Linked DNA regions of Coturnix japonica. The protein of the gene in region 2 interacts with the protein of the main gene of each other region in a biochemical or structural test. Links are inferred from orthologs where the notes say so. Each region holds a gene or a part of one and is shown on either strand. Other genes may lie near its edges.

Region 1 (6,558 bases), on a different chromosome or scaffold from region 2:
AAAGATTTCTGGATAAAGTTCCACGGAGAATTTTGCTTGTAGTTTTCTGTGTCCTTCATCTGCACCAGATGACATAGCAGAGCGGATGCCTACTGCTCTGGTTCTGCAAGGGAAGAATTAGACTGTGCCCAGAATCGGGAGCGTGGTGTTTATCAGTCGCAGTGCAAAGCAGACCCAATTTTGTTCCACACGCGGCGGCGCTCCTCTGTCCATGGTGCTGACAAATAACCCGCATCTGCACCTTCCCCTTCCCAGAAATCACCGCTATTTCTGTCTTCTGTCCTCGCCCACTAAACATACTAAAATTGCATTATTGCCAGCTTCACATTCATAAAAAGTTACGGCCATAATCTATGCCATCAGAAAAAAAATATCCATGGAGCATTGCTCTTATCATTGCTATGGCTGAGCAAGATGCTATTTCTCCTGTTGCCAAAGGCACGAATCTCTGATAAATCTTGTATTGGATCCCCATCCATGCAGATGAGTGCCTCAGCATGATGAGCAAAAGTTGTGTCAGGCCTACTGTGTTCCATTTCAGAAGCAAAAGAGTTCCCCAGAATTATTTCTGAATCTGTTATTTGACAAAGTTCTATGTACTACGTCACTTCTTTTTTACTATGCCCTTCCTTTTCTCAGTATTTGAAACCTGTGTGATGATGGTGAGAATACTGGTGGGATCTTTCCTGACTGATAGTTTAGAGTGCCTTCTGAACAGAAGACACCAAAATCAAGCTTAAAAGCATTTGATTTTTTGTTGTGAAGGTACATCGTGTGAGAGTTAAGAGTTGCTTGGAAGTTCATATGTGGAGTGGCAGAGAAATCCTGAATCTGAGAATATCTGTGTCTCATTGAGGTTTATAGTCTGGTGCCTAGTTCTTATGAGGAAAAATGAGCTGTGTAGTGGTGAGTGCCATGAATCAGGTGTTTTGTGTTTCTCTGGCAGCTGCAAAAATCATCTGGAAAAAGTAGGTAGTCTGGAGACCAGACCACGATAAAGCACCTTTGCATGTGAGTTAGGGATTAAAAGAGGGTTTATTTATTTGTTTACCTTCTTCTTGCTTCTTACTATTTTTTTTTTTTTTTACTTTTCTGAAAACCGTCAGTACAAGCAAAGCACATCTCTATTCAGCTGAGCTTCCTAGGCTGATATTAGGGTCTGTCTGAGAGATCACTTTCTAGGAGCAATCTGGGTCAGACCCAGGTGGGAGGATGCTGGCTTGAGCACCGAAGCATGCCTTGCTGTGCGTGCAGCAGGCACCGAGAAGCCACGGTAGCCGGCACTGCTGGACAGTGAGCAGGCTCTTTGCCGTGCCTGCCAGACCTGCTTGCCTTTCCCCACGAGGCCCTCCCTGACTTTCAGATGAAGTCAACCAGTGAAACTATTTTACCGTGTCCCGATTACACCATCGCGCTGCTCCCCCGGCCGGGGCTCCCCCTTTCCGCAGTCCCCGTCCTCCCCCGACCACTTCGGCTCCATACGGTTTGCACAGGTAGCGTTCCACCTCTCCTGCTGGTGACAGGAGGACCGATCCGCTGCAGAACTCGTGCCCGCTACACCCAGCCCCGGGAGGGCTGTCGGCATGCCCAGTACCCGGGGTGGAGTATTGCTCTGATCCTCTCCTTCCTCTTCTCCTTCAAAACCCGTTCTGAACACGGGCTGGACAGCGGACCGCAGCCTTCACGCTCTTCATCAGGCGACCGCGAGGAGGAGGGTCCTTCTCCTCCCTTCCTTGCCCCCGCCCTCCCCTCATCTTCCCTTGGGATACAGACGGACCTTGTCAGGGAGGGAGCGCAGAGCTCAGCCGGCGGTCCGTCCGGCCACAGTACAATCCAAGCCGAAGGAGAAGAGAGGACGAGGCGCTGCTCGCTCCCTGTCTTCCTCGCTGCCTGACAACTCTTTTCAGGACCTAGGGGACGAGCGGAGATGTCCGGGAATGACCCAGAGCGGAAGACGCGGATCACTCCCACACCTTCCCACCTTTTGCAGGAAGGAGTATTTGCAGACGTTTCCCACACACCCCTGAGGATAACCAAGGAAGCGCTGGCAAAATACAGCGGAGGGCTAATCCCTCCCCCATCTCCGCCAGGCGAAGAGGCAGGGTCCCTGGTGCAGGCAGACAGCGGGAGATGAGGCAGGGGGTGCACACATGGAGTCGCGCACCCCTCCGCGGGGCTGGCAGAGCCGGGGACCTCCTCCGCGGCCAGAGCCCAGGAGCGAGGGCGGTACAGGGAAGGGGCGGGGGAGCGAGAAGCAGGGGGAGGGCGAGAGCCCGGCTTCAGCAGCCGGGGGAGGAGGAAGGAGGGACCGTGTAGGTGGGATGGTCCGGAAATCCCGTGATAAAAAGAGGAGCGCGGGGGAAAAGTAGGGAGAAGCTTCGGACTCGTTCTCTCTCCTCCACTTCACATCCACAACTTGCCCGCTGGCACATGGGTGCCGGTCGGAGCCGCTAGCAGCGGAACGGTCCGCAGCACCTGTCCAGCACCGCACAGCGCCCACGTAGCCAGCGAGGTACAGGCACGGGGTGGACGGGACGGAGGGTGCCGTGCCGTGCCGTGCCGAAGGGTGCGTGCCGGCGGCGTGCGGGAGGGCAGCGAGGAGAGGCAGCTGCGGGCAGGCGGCGGTGGGTGCAGCCCTAATGGCACCTGGGAACCGGAGCCGATGCCAACGAAGGGAGGCAGCAGGCTGCGCGGAGGGGATACCGGGCTGCGCCCGCCGCCGGTCCGTCCCCGGCTCTGGTGGAGCATCTCCCGGGGAGATGCTGGCAGTGCACCGGGATCCCCGGCGAGAGGTGTCGCATCCCCGCGTCCCGCCGCCACGGCTGCATCCCCGCCGCTCATCCTACCCGCTCGCCCCGCCGGGCACACGCGGAGCGTTTCACCTTCAAATGCCCCCTCCGGAAGCCAGGTGGCGGGAGGTGCGGGCGGGGAAGAGAGAAAGTTAGGAGCTTTAACGCTTTCTCGTCCGCGCTGCCGGCCACCCGCACTCTCGGGCCATCACTGCTCCCCTGCCCTCTTGCCTTCCCCCCCTTCCACCCTCGCACTGCCTGGCATCCCCCTGCCTTGTCCTGTAGGGCTGGAGTCCGAGGGTCTGCGGGTGGAAACTTGGCTGGGAAGGAAGGCGGTGGGGAAGGTGGTAGCAAACAGCCGCCGTTTTTCCTCCGGGAGAAACCGCTCCTCTGGTGTCTGTGCCCCTCCCCGCAGGCTGCCCGCCGCGGATTGCCGGTCTCCGTGCATGCGAGGTGTGAAGCTGGGCAGCGCCCCTGAGCCATCGCCATGGATTTTGTGATGAAGCAAGCCTTAGGAGGTAAGTGCAGCCTGCACGTGGGGGGCCTCGCATCGCCCTTTCCCTCTCGGTGCAAGACGTGATGGTCTGCTGAGAGCCTCCGGTGGGGCTGCGGTCGGAATTGCTATTTGGTGGCTGCAGAGGGACATGCCAGCCAGATTCGTGATCCCAGAGCCAAGTGCTGGAAGAATCTGAGCAGGAGAGGGCAGCAACAAGCAGACACCAAAGCCCCATGTCATAGAGGGAGGAATGCCTCCCACGGCAGATGTGCTGGAAGGACTCGGGCTGTGCTGGGACCCTACCAGCTGTGTCCTGCTGTACTGTGCATAAGTGCCGTCTTGCTTTGTACTGTCTTCTGAGGCAGCAGTGGCAAAGAGAGTAGGAAGAATTAATCAGGGGACTCCCAAAGACTGACATTTTTTGGTGGGTGGGAGCCTCTCCTCCATCCTTCCCCTGGACTTTGGGTAGATTGTGACCAATGGCTACTGAAGAGAAGTTTGGTTTCTGTGACCTAGCATTTGGGAAGTGATATTTGTTAATAATATTGCTGCAGTAAGCAGGAAAAAAAATAATGTGTTCCCTCACAACTGATGTAGTTAGGGGACAGACCTTTAATATGGTTTTAATGTATTTCCTTCCATGTGTGATGAGCCTCTTTAACTCAGTGATGAGAAGCAGAAAAAAACAGCAGTGAGGGGAGAGAAATGAAATCCAACACAAAAGTGTTCTGGAGTGAGATTCCTTTTTTTTTTTCCTGTCACAGTTGCGTTACCTTACTGGGCTGCTTGTCCCAAATGCTCAGAAAAAGTGAGATTGTCATTGGAACAATACCGAATACAGGCTGTCTCTGAGAGGTGCTTGGCCTTGGAAGAAGCCACGATGTGTTTCTGATTGTTCCCTCTATTTTACTATACCTGATGTGTGCATTTTTCCTTTTTTTTTTTTTTTTTTTTTTAATTTTTTTTTTTTTTTTTTTTTTTGGGTGGGGGGCGAGCAGGGGGAAGAGGTAAACTGTAGCCATGGGACTGAGAAGATGTCTCATGCGTAGTGTTACTGATACCATATGCTTCAGCACATGGTAGAGACATCTACTGCAGGACAGTTTTATGTGGCATGGAAATGTGTTTTCCATTTTTGCAAGGAATGAACTATTTTCTCACCAAGGGAGCAAAATCTCGTAGTTAAGGATAGAGTGATATCCGAAGTTCTCATTGTGGTGTTTTGAATATGAAGGCCAAATTGAAGATAAAAGGTATCTTCATCTCCTTCTATTTTGTGTGATCAAACTTGATCCTACATAAGAAAATAAATGTTCTTGTGGTAATGGTATTGCATTTCATCACTGTTTGTGCCTATCTGAAAGAGAAACACTCCTGAGGAGGGCAGGTTTTATATAGGTTATCTACACTGTAAGGTTGCTTACACGGAAATGAACCTGGATCTGCATGGTAAAAACAGCCTGTGCAGTTGGAGATCAGGCAGCCCACTGAAGAGAAATAACAGCTTGGAGACTGCAAGGGGTGTGGAGGGTTGCAGAAGCGGAGTAGCAGCTGAGATGCATACTCTTATTGTGGGGTTGTGACGAGCTGGAGTTGGGAGCAGTGTGTGCTTGTACCAAACAGCATTTAATCTGGGCAGACATTCATTCTAACATAATCCTGCGTGGCAGGGTCAGGATTTGCATTATAATAGGAGCTGCTGAGAAGTCAAGTTCAGGAAGGATCTGTTGGTGAAGTCTGGGTATCTCATGTCTGCAGCAAGATGCTGCCCAGGGTGCCAGCTCTTCTGCCATCTGACATAGTATATTAGCAAACTGGGCCTGACATTTGCCCCTTGCTGGATAGAGGAGAAGGCTCTGAGGACTGGTAAAAAAACAGAAAATGTTCATTCATTATGCAGAGATGTATTTTTAACTCAGAAATGGTTTTAAAGAGGGAAAACAGCTACTTCCAGGGCAGATATATCATATCATAGGAAGTGAAGATTCTTTTGGACGCTGGTTTCCCATCCAGTGGTAAAGCCACAACTGATGCATTCATGATCCTTCTGGGAGTTCTCCCATCTCTGAGGCAATCTCTGAACATGCTTCCTGGGTCTCTAGTGGCATCTGACAATCAGATATGCATTTCCTTGGAGCCTTGCTAGTCAGAGGGGTAGAAAGCAGGAAGGTGTTTTAGAAAGCTATTGAGATGAGTTAGCAAGCAAGGAAAGATAGTTATGTTATGTGGTGTAGGAGTCTGTGAGTTTGTGAAACTCTTGAGGATTGGGATGATACAAAATTAGTTTGGCAGGTTATTCTGAAGCAGAATATGTTCATTCCGTGACCTGCAGTTAAAGGGAGTCTGCAGAAGCTTGCTGTGCCTGTACAGTGGACGTCTCTCCTCTGCTGTGCTGCCAGCACTGGGATTTTGCTGCTAGTCTTGGCAGCAGTCATTGCCTGGCTGTTAGTAGGTTTGAGATGTCTTTGCAAATTCTTGGCCCCTTCAAGGTAAAATTCCTGACCCTCACATATGTAGTGGGGGCTGTGATCCAGTAAAGCACTACAAAATATTACCTTACTTGGCCATCTGGTTTCTGTGGCATTTTTATTTTTTTCTCCACTCAGGACATTTCATTGCCCTCTGTAGAAAGTGCCCCCTTGTACTGTTTATGTGGCAGTACAAGCAGCACAGATTTGAAATACAGTCATGGTTCTGATTTGCTGTGTGGGATGACAAGAAGAAAACAAGGGGAAACTTGAGAGCTTAAAATCACTGCTTCTGCCAGAGAAGTGACAATGACAGCAAAAAGGTATTTTTACCTCTGCCCATAGTCAGATCCACTCCACACCAACCGATATCAACACAGATGTCTGTTGGTCATTTATCTGTTACTGTGACAGTTCACTAAGTGAACACAACCAGTGTGGTTGCATGATTGCATTTCACATTAGGGGCGCTCTTTAGCAAGACAGGTCAGAGCTCTGTAGCATTGTCATCATGATTTATAGACCAAGATGTATGACTTCTCAGGGAAATGTTGGCAGTGAAGGACTTAATACGGTCCCTGGAAGAATTTAACTATGGTATTTTTCAACGAACATCACTTAGTTTTGCACTGGTTGTGTGAAAGCAAGGGATGCTTTAATACCTGACTGCTAGTCACACTGTTCTGGCTCACTTCCTTTATCACTGTGGACTGGACAAACAGAGCGAACGGTCTGAAAGAGAACAGATGCTAACTCTCATTAAGCTTTGCTTTGCCACCTCTTTTTACTGGAAGACTTCAGGGTC
Region 2 (7,702 bases):
GAAAAAATCATTTAAAATAGCTGAATTGGCCAGCATTAGCTTTCAGCTTTCAAAGGCCAGGAACAGCCATGATGAATTACATAATATTTCTTTCTTTTCCTCCCCATGCTTGTATTGGAATTCAGCTTCCTCCAGTGAATAAGATGACAAAGCTTGTCTTTCATTAGAAAAAGCAGCTACTACAAAAACAACACATACACACAGAATAAAATAAAGGAAAAGGGTATAATGCAATGATTGGATTCTCTTTGCAGTATATCACTATCTATTTCAGAGTGTACATGTCTGTGCAGGGGATATACCTTGCTTCCCTTTGAAAAAACAAAGCTGCTAAATCTTGTCTTTTGTTGTAAGTCCCACACTATGATGTGCAGACCTACTTTCTTCTTGACTGCAGGTCTAACCAACAAATGCCTGTTGTTGTGAGTGGAATGCTTTTCATACCCCATATGCATCTCTAGTGGCATATAGCCTGACTTGAGCTTTCTCAGCCTCATCCAAAGTCTAACTGCTGGAACTATTTTCCTCGATTTCAGCTGACTCTGGATTAGAAGCCTTAGAATAATCAAAGGCTAAAGATCATGCTCATCTCCCATCTTGACAGCATCTTAATGCTTTGTTTAAGCCTGTGTTTCTTTTATCACAGTATTCTTTAAAAGTAAGCAGAAGAGGACTGTAGGTGGGCATGACAATGAGGAAAGAGAGGTGGAAATAGGAGCACAAACAGTGAAAGATGTGAAGGCCAAGATTAATTTCATTCTTAAGTAACAGGGCAAATTAGCCAAAAACTTCCTCTAGGCCATTCAAATCATCAATCAATTCAAAACATTTTTGAGTCTTGGAACACTGGCCACAGGGTCGTCATAAAGCAGGAAGGAACAACTTCAAGCCTATCAAGTTGATATATGCTTGTTCTTGGTGGTAAAAAAAAAAGTCCTAGAAAATCCAGTGAGATGCAGGACGGCTTATTAAAAGCTATTGTTTGACGAGAGGCAGATTTTGCTGGTGGAAGTGTGCATCTAAGATTCATGGAGGTAGTGACAAAGGCATGATGGGCAAGAACTGGGAATATAACCTGTGTGTTTCGGAGAAGTGCTTGTTGTAATATGATGCAGAAGCTGAATCTGCTAAGTCAGTAAGGAAGGAAGCCAGAGTATATCTAAGTGAAGGGCGCAGGTATCAGTAAAGGCTCAAAAATGATGAGCTAAAAGAAATAATCTATACTTTGACAGCTGATGTTCCTGACAAACTCTATCCAGCTCCCCCAGGAGTAGATATATGAACCCTAGTGCCTTTTCCAAAGCCCAACCTCCTAGAGGTAATTGTGATCTGCCTGAGACCTGCAGCCTGCTGCTGTTCTCAAACACATTTTTCTACTCTGCGTTAGATGCTCTAAAAAGCTTCAACAATTATACTGTTACAGACTACTTGGCACTCACCCAGCCCAAAGGTGACTGCATTTCTAGCAGTAGAGGAAACTTCAGATAAAGAAAAACATACTCACTTCAGTGAAGGCCATAAAGTGAGTTTACATTTGTTGTAGTTTTAAGTGACTTAAGCCCTAGAAGTCTGAAATAAATGTGCATGTGTTTTAATAATGAAAGTGCTGTGATTATACTCTAGTTATGAAAAATTGAGGAAAAAAATCAGGAAAAAATTAAATGAAATGAACAAGTATGGTAGTGTAACAAGCCAAGGTAAACCAAGTTCCTTTCTTCCTAGGGTTTTTTACATTCCTGAGAGAAGGAATTAAGAGACTGAGTTCTCCGTTCTGCTGTATGCTTGCCATTTTACCTCAAATTGTTGCAACATAGGCTTGTGACACAAAAGCCTAAAAATTGCTTAAGTTAATAATAAGACAGGAAAGCATGTTGATTAGTTACCTTGCTCGGTTATAGCAGAGCAGGAATTAGATATAGACTACACTTTATTTGCCTTAGCAGTTTAATCTCACTGTCTGTTGCCATGCCTAACCTGTACAGAGATGAATGAAAAGCTTTCTGATGACCTGAAATACAGCTTCCACCCCCAATGCAGTAAATCTGCAAACTGGAGCTGTGTTTCATTAGATGTACTTTAAGGGTTCTTTATTTTTCTGCCCTCATGAGTTCAGTGGACATAGAATCCGATATCTCACTATCATTTCCTAGCTAGCTGTATAAATATAGTTAAACTGCATTTACTTGGGGTTGCTGTTTAGCTGCATTTTGTTTCGTAACATGCTCGGTTATTTCCAGTCCTCCTGACTTCAGTGGGAGCCTCAAGCTCTCACTTTTGCAAATCAGGCCTGCTTGTACCTTTGCTTTGGTCACTTCTGCTGTCTCTTTGGCACTCATCCTAGGAATCAAAGTGACCTCCTTGCCATCCCCTTATGCACTATGCAGAAGCAATGGAAAACCACTGCCACTTTTTCCTAGACTGGTATCTTTGACCATGATTCAGTGACATGCAGGGATATGGGAGGAGGATTCTTCATCTGTATCCCCTGGAGCTCTCATCACCCAGATGGCCCCATTTCCTCCCCTGCAGCCCATAGAGGTGTCTGCCTCCAGACCAGCCTTGTCTTGTCATGGTCTATGGAGATCAGAGCTAGGATGGAGCAGGGAGGAGAGGGACAGGCATGTCCTTGTGGATGCGGCAGCTGGGGCTGACAGTAACCACGTATGGCTTGGTGGGTTGATCTGCCATCCCCAGGCTTCACCACAGACCAGCCTCTCCATCCCCACCTCCTCCCCCCCACCCCCTTTTCAGCTGGGAATGAAACCAGCAGCAATTACTCAAGCCAAGCACGTAAATCTGGCAGATCCCATGGCCCTCATTTGACGCAGCTACGCAGTGCAATGTCTGGACGCCCAACCCACTTCCCTCATCCCCTCTTGTTTATTTGCCCTGCAGAAAACAGCAAAGTTACCAACTTTGCCAGCAGTGAGCTGTACCAAGTGGAGAAGGAAAGCGGGGTGCCAGGGAGCAGGAAGGACAGGGGAAGAGGAACGCCAGGGACAGGGATGCCAGGGTCAGGAGTGCGAGGTGGGTTTGCCTGCATTGCATGAGGAGCTGAGCTGCCCCGACTCAAGGCTGCAGAATGCCCGGGGCCGACCCTCTGTGGTTGCGGGGATGCCCTAGGGGCTGCCGCTGGTCCGGAGAGACCCCGCGGACCAGGTGTTACATAACTCCCGTTTCCCTTGCACCAATGCCCTTCCACCAACCGGCCGGGTGGGAGACAGGCTGAAGAGCCGCTTAATTTCAAGAACCGAAGCTTGTAATTATTATTGTTTATTATTATTATTATTATTATTTCTCCCACTTTGCGCTTCGACTTGCCGAGAAACCCCGCAAAGCCCCAGCTGTTTCAGCCTGAGGTCCCGTCCCGGAAGGAGCTAGCAGCTCAGCTATGGGCTCGCTTCCCTTGCGGCAGGGCAGAGGCTGCCCGGGGCTGGCTGCCCGGGGGGGGTGCGGAGCCGCAGGGCGCTGCAGCGAACCCGCCTCCGCCTGCAGCGCGGCTCCAAGCCCGGGGCGCCGTGGCGCTGTCCGCGGTGCTGAAGACGGACGCTGTCCGCTGTGCTGACGGACGCTGTCCGCGGTGCTGAACCGCCTCCCGTTCCCGCAGAGCCGCAGTACTCCCTGCTGACCTCCCCCCCGGCCTCCGTCCGCGGTGCCGAAGCGCCGCCGCAGCCCTGCGCGGTGCGGTGCGGTGCGGGAAGGGCGCTGCAGTGCCCTGGGCGGCTGCAGCCCTGCGCGACCCAGCAGAGCAGAGAGCCCCGCAGCACCCTGCTCCCAGTACAGGTTAGAAATGCGCTGCTTGCCCTTCTCCTCGGGCTCCCTGCCGCCTTCGATCGTGCCCGATACAGCGGAAACACAGAGCTCGGTTCCCTCCCATGGTTCCAGCCGGCGATAAGGCTGGCGGCGGCATTACCCCCCCTCTCCTCGACTTCCTCCATCCCTGTAGCAGCCCAGAGACAGGAGACAAAACGCCGAGCGCGTCCCCCTTTAAACAAATCCTTTTTTCGCTTCATTTTCGTTCATACAGCCCCCTCCCCTTGCTCAGTCGGTGGCCCGGTGGTCTCCCGCCCTTACCTCGGCTTGTGCAGCGCTCCGCCGGGCCGCCTCGGCGGGGTTGGTGTCTCGGTGCCGCAGCTGGGAGGCAAGGACAGCCGCTGCTGACCTCCTCGGGTCTCCTTCTTCAATGGACCGAGAGCCGTGCCCTCATCAAAGATGGCCGTCCGCTCCTACGTCAGCAGCTTTTAATAGCCCTCCCCGGAGGGGGGGGGGGAATGGGGGAGGCGGGAGCGGGCGGGGGGCAGAGCGGGCCGGGCGGGCGGGCTTGAGTCATCACCGCCGCCGCCGCCTCCCGCTCCGATCTCCTCGCCCCGCCGACAAACGGCCCCGCCGGGCCTCCTCCGAGCCTGGGGGCCGGGGGCTGAACCGCCCGGGGAGGGGGGAAGGGGCCTCCTGCAGCAACATGCCTCCGCCAAAGGGGTGGTCCGAAGAGGGTATCCCTCTGAAGTCCCCGGTACTCCATATATGGCCAATCTACGTGGGCTTCTATTTTTATGTGTGAATTCTTCCTTCTCTCCCTCTTTTTATGTTTCAGAGCATCCTGCCACGGGTCTGAGTGTGTTAATCTGATTATTCCCCTTCTCCTCCCCCCTGAAATAAGAGCACACAAACGCAAGGAAATCCACAGATAAGGACATGTGCTATAACCGATCATTTGAGAGACAGGTTTAGAAAAGGGAGAGAGAAGGGGGGAAAAAAAAAGCCCTCACAAAAAACCCAGGCATGTACGTGCATACATACAGCACAGAGAGAACAGACCGCTGCTGCCAAGGAGGAAAGCAGTGACTCTGTTCTGGGAAAAAGCCTGGCTTATTTATCATGGATTAATTAAAATATTTATTCAGAGCTTACCTAATTTGGAGCAAATGGAGCTGTCTGTAGTGTGATATTTAATGGAGAGGAAATCCTCTCATTTGTTACAAAACATCTTTCTGTAAAAGGTATCTCTTAACGGAGATTTTAATGAAGGATGGGGATTGCATCTGAAATGCGACACTCTTTCATAACCTCAGTTATCCCTTCCCTTTCATTCCACAAGCCTGCGCACGTTCGTGTATGGAACCATCCAGACCTACCCATGAGCAGAGGTGCCTCCGTCTGAGCCTCTCTTGTGAGCAGTCACTGAGCACTGGCTATGCTTAACTCTGACACTGTGCTAATGGCTTTTCTAAATAGTCTGCAGATGACGGTGTCAAAACATCAGTCTCATATTAGTGATAATTCTACCCTAATCATTATGTCTTTTTTTCCCTTATTGCCATGGCAGGGAAGACCGGAAGAGGGGGAAGGCTCTGCAGCTGTATTTTGGAGCACGTTTGTCTCATGTTGTGGTTGTATGGGGGTGGAGGAGAGAAAGGGGAGGGGAGGTGCGGGGGGGGGGAAGGAGAAAGAACTGCGGTGATTCCTCCTCCCCTGCTCTGTAGTTCCCCATAGAAAAACGTGATTGTAGATCGTGCTTTGCAATTCTCACCCTCTCCTACGAAAATATGTCCTTCAGTCTCGTTTGGAAGGAAGCAGTCAAAAGTTTGCTAAATATACAACAAAGGAATTCTCAGGGAAGAGGGGCTTCCTGCTGCAGTAGAGTATCTGATGAGCTGTGCACACAAAAACCGCAGGGAAGGAGAGAACCTGTCAGACTTAAGGGCTGTAAAGGCAGACAAGTAGAGAGAGATCAACGCTGTGCAGACAGCCCCCCTTCTAGGTGAGGGATCTGGATCAGCACCTTGAGCAGGACCTGGATTTAGCATCATAAATGACAGTATGGAAAGGCAAACCTTTTCTGCTCAACTCATATATGGGTTAACAGTAGCCAGCACTCCAATTAGGTATGCACTGCAGAAAGCAAGAGGAATCCCAGCGTGTGTCTCGGTCTGAAATTCAGGCAGTCCATGCGCATGCATTGTGCTTTGCAAGTTCTTAGTACACACAGAAAGTTAAGAAGAAATTTTCAGACAGCTTGTCTGGTAGGTGGTTTTGAAATGAAGTTCAATTTTTAAGAGAGCAATGCTAGTTCTTATTAATAATTCACAGTGACGGCAGAAAAGGAAAGCGAGAGAGAAATTATAAACTGTTATTTTGACTGAGCCACCAGCACTGCAAAATCCTGACTGAGTTTGGATTCAGCCAAATAACACTGCTGAGAAGAATTTCAGTCCATTGGATACCAACAGGGATGAATTTGGCTGCTTCTGTCAAATGCCTGTAAGGAAAATGCAGTGAAGGCAAAATAAAAAATAAAGAAGTCATGCAGCATAACTTGGGGAAAGAGTGCTCAGGGATGGTCAGAGACAGAAGAAGGAGGGGGTAGGAGAAGGGAGGGAGGTAGGTGTCTACTGAGAAAACTGAGTTCAATTTCAGATTAATTTTCAAGCTCTGCTGCAGCAGAAATCGTGTCTTCTAATAAAACAACATAAGGCAGAATCACTAAATAGACCATGAACATTGCCCATTAAGCTCAGTAGGGACAAATTCCTCTCCTACAGTTGGTTTGTGTGTTTTTTTCTAAATGAATAAGGGAGCAGATACCTTTTGTGTTGCTCAGGAAGGTGTGTGCCTCTATCCTGGGAGATGCAGAGGGGGGGCAGCCTTTTGCACCGCAGCACCAGGATTTCTGTTGCAATAAGCACTACTAAGCAATTTCAGCTTGTTCTCTAGCATCATTTGGGGATGCTTTGTTTCTTAAAAAAATGAGGGGAGAGGGGGAGGGGGGAGTTTATTGACTGTCTCTAATAGTATATAAACACTCACTTAATGCTGTGTGAAGGAGAGCTGTGATAAGTGAAGCCTAAAAATGAAGTAGGAGGAGAGAGAAAACTAGAATTTGCTCTAAGAATGATTCAGCTCCCTCCTTATTATTCAGGCAAATATTCAGTAAGCTGAACAACTAGTACCTGTGGGCACAGCCTGTGGATAATGACACAGGGAACATATTTTGCTACATGAGGGTGGCATGAAGTGGGTTCCAGTGTTACCGGCCAGCAGCCAGAGTGATGCAAAGCAGGCAGAGCCTGCAGCATGATAGCAGGGAGGAAACGGCAGCCCATGTTTTGTCCACAATTTGAGGTATGGTTGCAGGCAGTAGAAGCTCTTTGCTCACAGAATCACCTTCAGTCTCCAAAACATGAGCCTGCATGCTGCAAAGCTGTGCTGGGAGGCAGAAAGCAAGCATAACACCAAAATGCTGAGCAGTGCCACCAGGTCCTGGATGTTAATCCCTGGGCTCTTCCAGAGACAGTCGTAAAGCCTGTCAGACAGAGACTGCCTTGGTCCCTTCCACGTTTCCCAGGCATTTCTATCTTTTGTTAGCAGAGAATGAAATACCTTGCACTGCTCATCTGTGCCTCTAGTATGCAGATGAGAAATAAATTCTAATTGAACTAGGACAGAGGGAGCAAAAAAAAAGGAGAGGAGAAAAATGTACCTGCTTTGGCACTAAACAGTTTGTAGCCTTTCTGGTTTCCGTGTTTTCCCAGACTTGGATGCCAGGGCATTCCCTAGTCCCCGAAGGGTTGGGCAATTGGAGTAATTTGAGGATCAAGACCTTTATGCTCAGATTCTAATTGTCTTGTGGCATTTACTGCAGTTCTTGTAACTACTGAATTTTGGCCATCAGTGGCAGGATACTTCTGGTTAAATCTGAGGGAAT

The links. The genes of interacting proteins can lie anywhere in the genome.
Region 1: the proteins of SNAP25 (region 2) and CPLX1 are reported together in a solved structure, tested with the Homo sapiens proteins (2 studies listed by BioGRID, with this or other methods). The link is inferred for Coturnix japonica from reciprocal best matches to the Homo sapiens genes SNAP25 and CPLX1.

The regions. Positions count from the first base shown.
Region 1 is NC_029547.1:46,350,492-46,357,049, forward strand, and holds the start of CPLX1 (complexin-1), read left to right. Parts: upstream 1-3,204; 5' UTR 3,205-3,276; coding exon 3,277-3,307; intron 3,308-6,558. UniProt on the Homo sapiens protein: Positively regulates a late step in exocytosis of various cytoplasmic vesicles, such as synaptic vesicles and other secretory vesicles.
Region 2 is NC_029518.1:11,887,909-11,895,610, forward strand, and holds the start of SNAP25 (synaptosomal-associated protein 25), read right to left. Parts: upstream 4,236-7,702; 5' UTR 4,075-4,235; intron 1-4,074.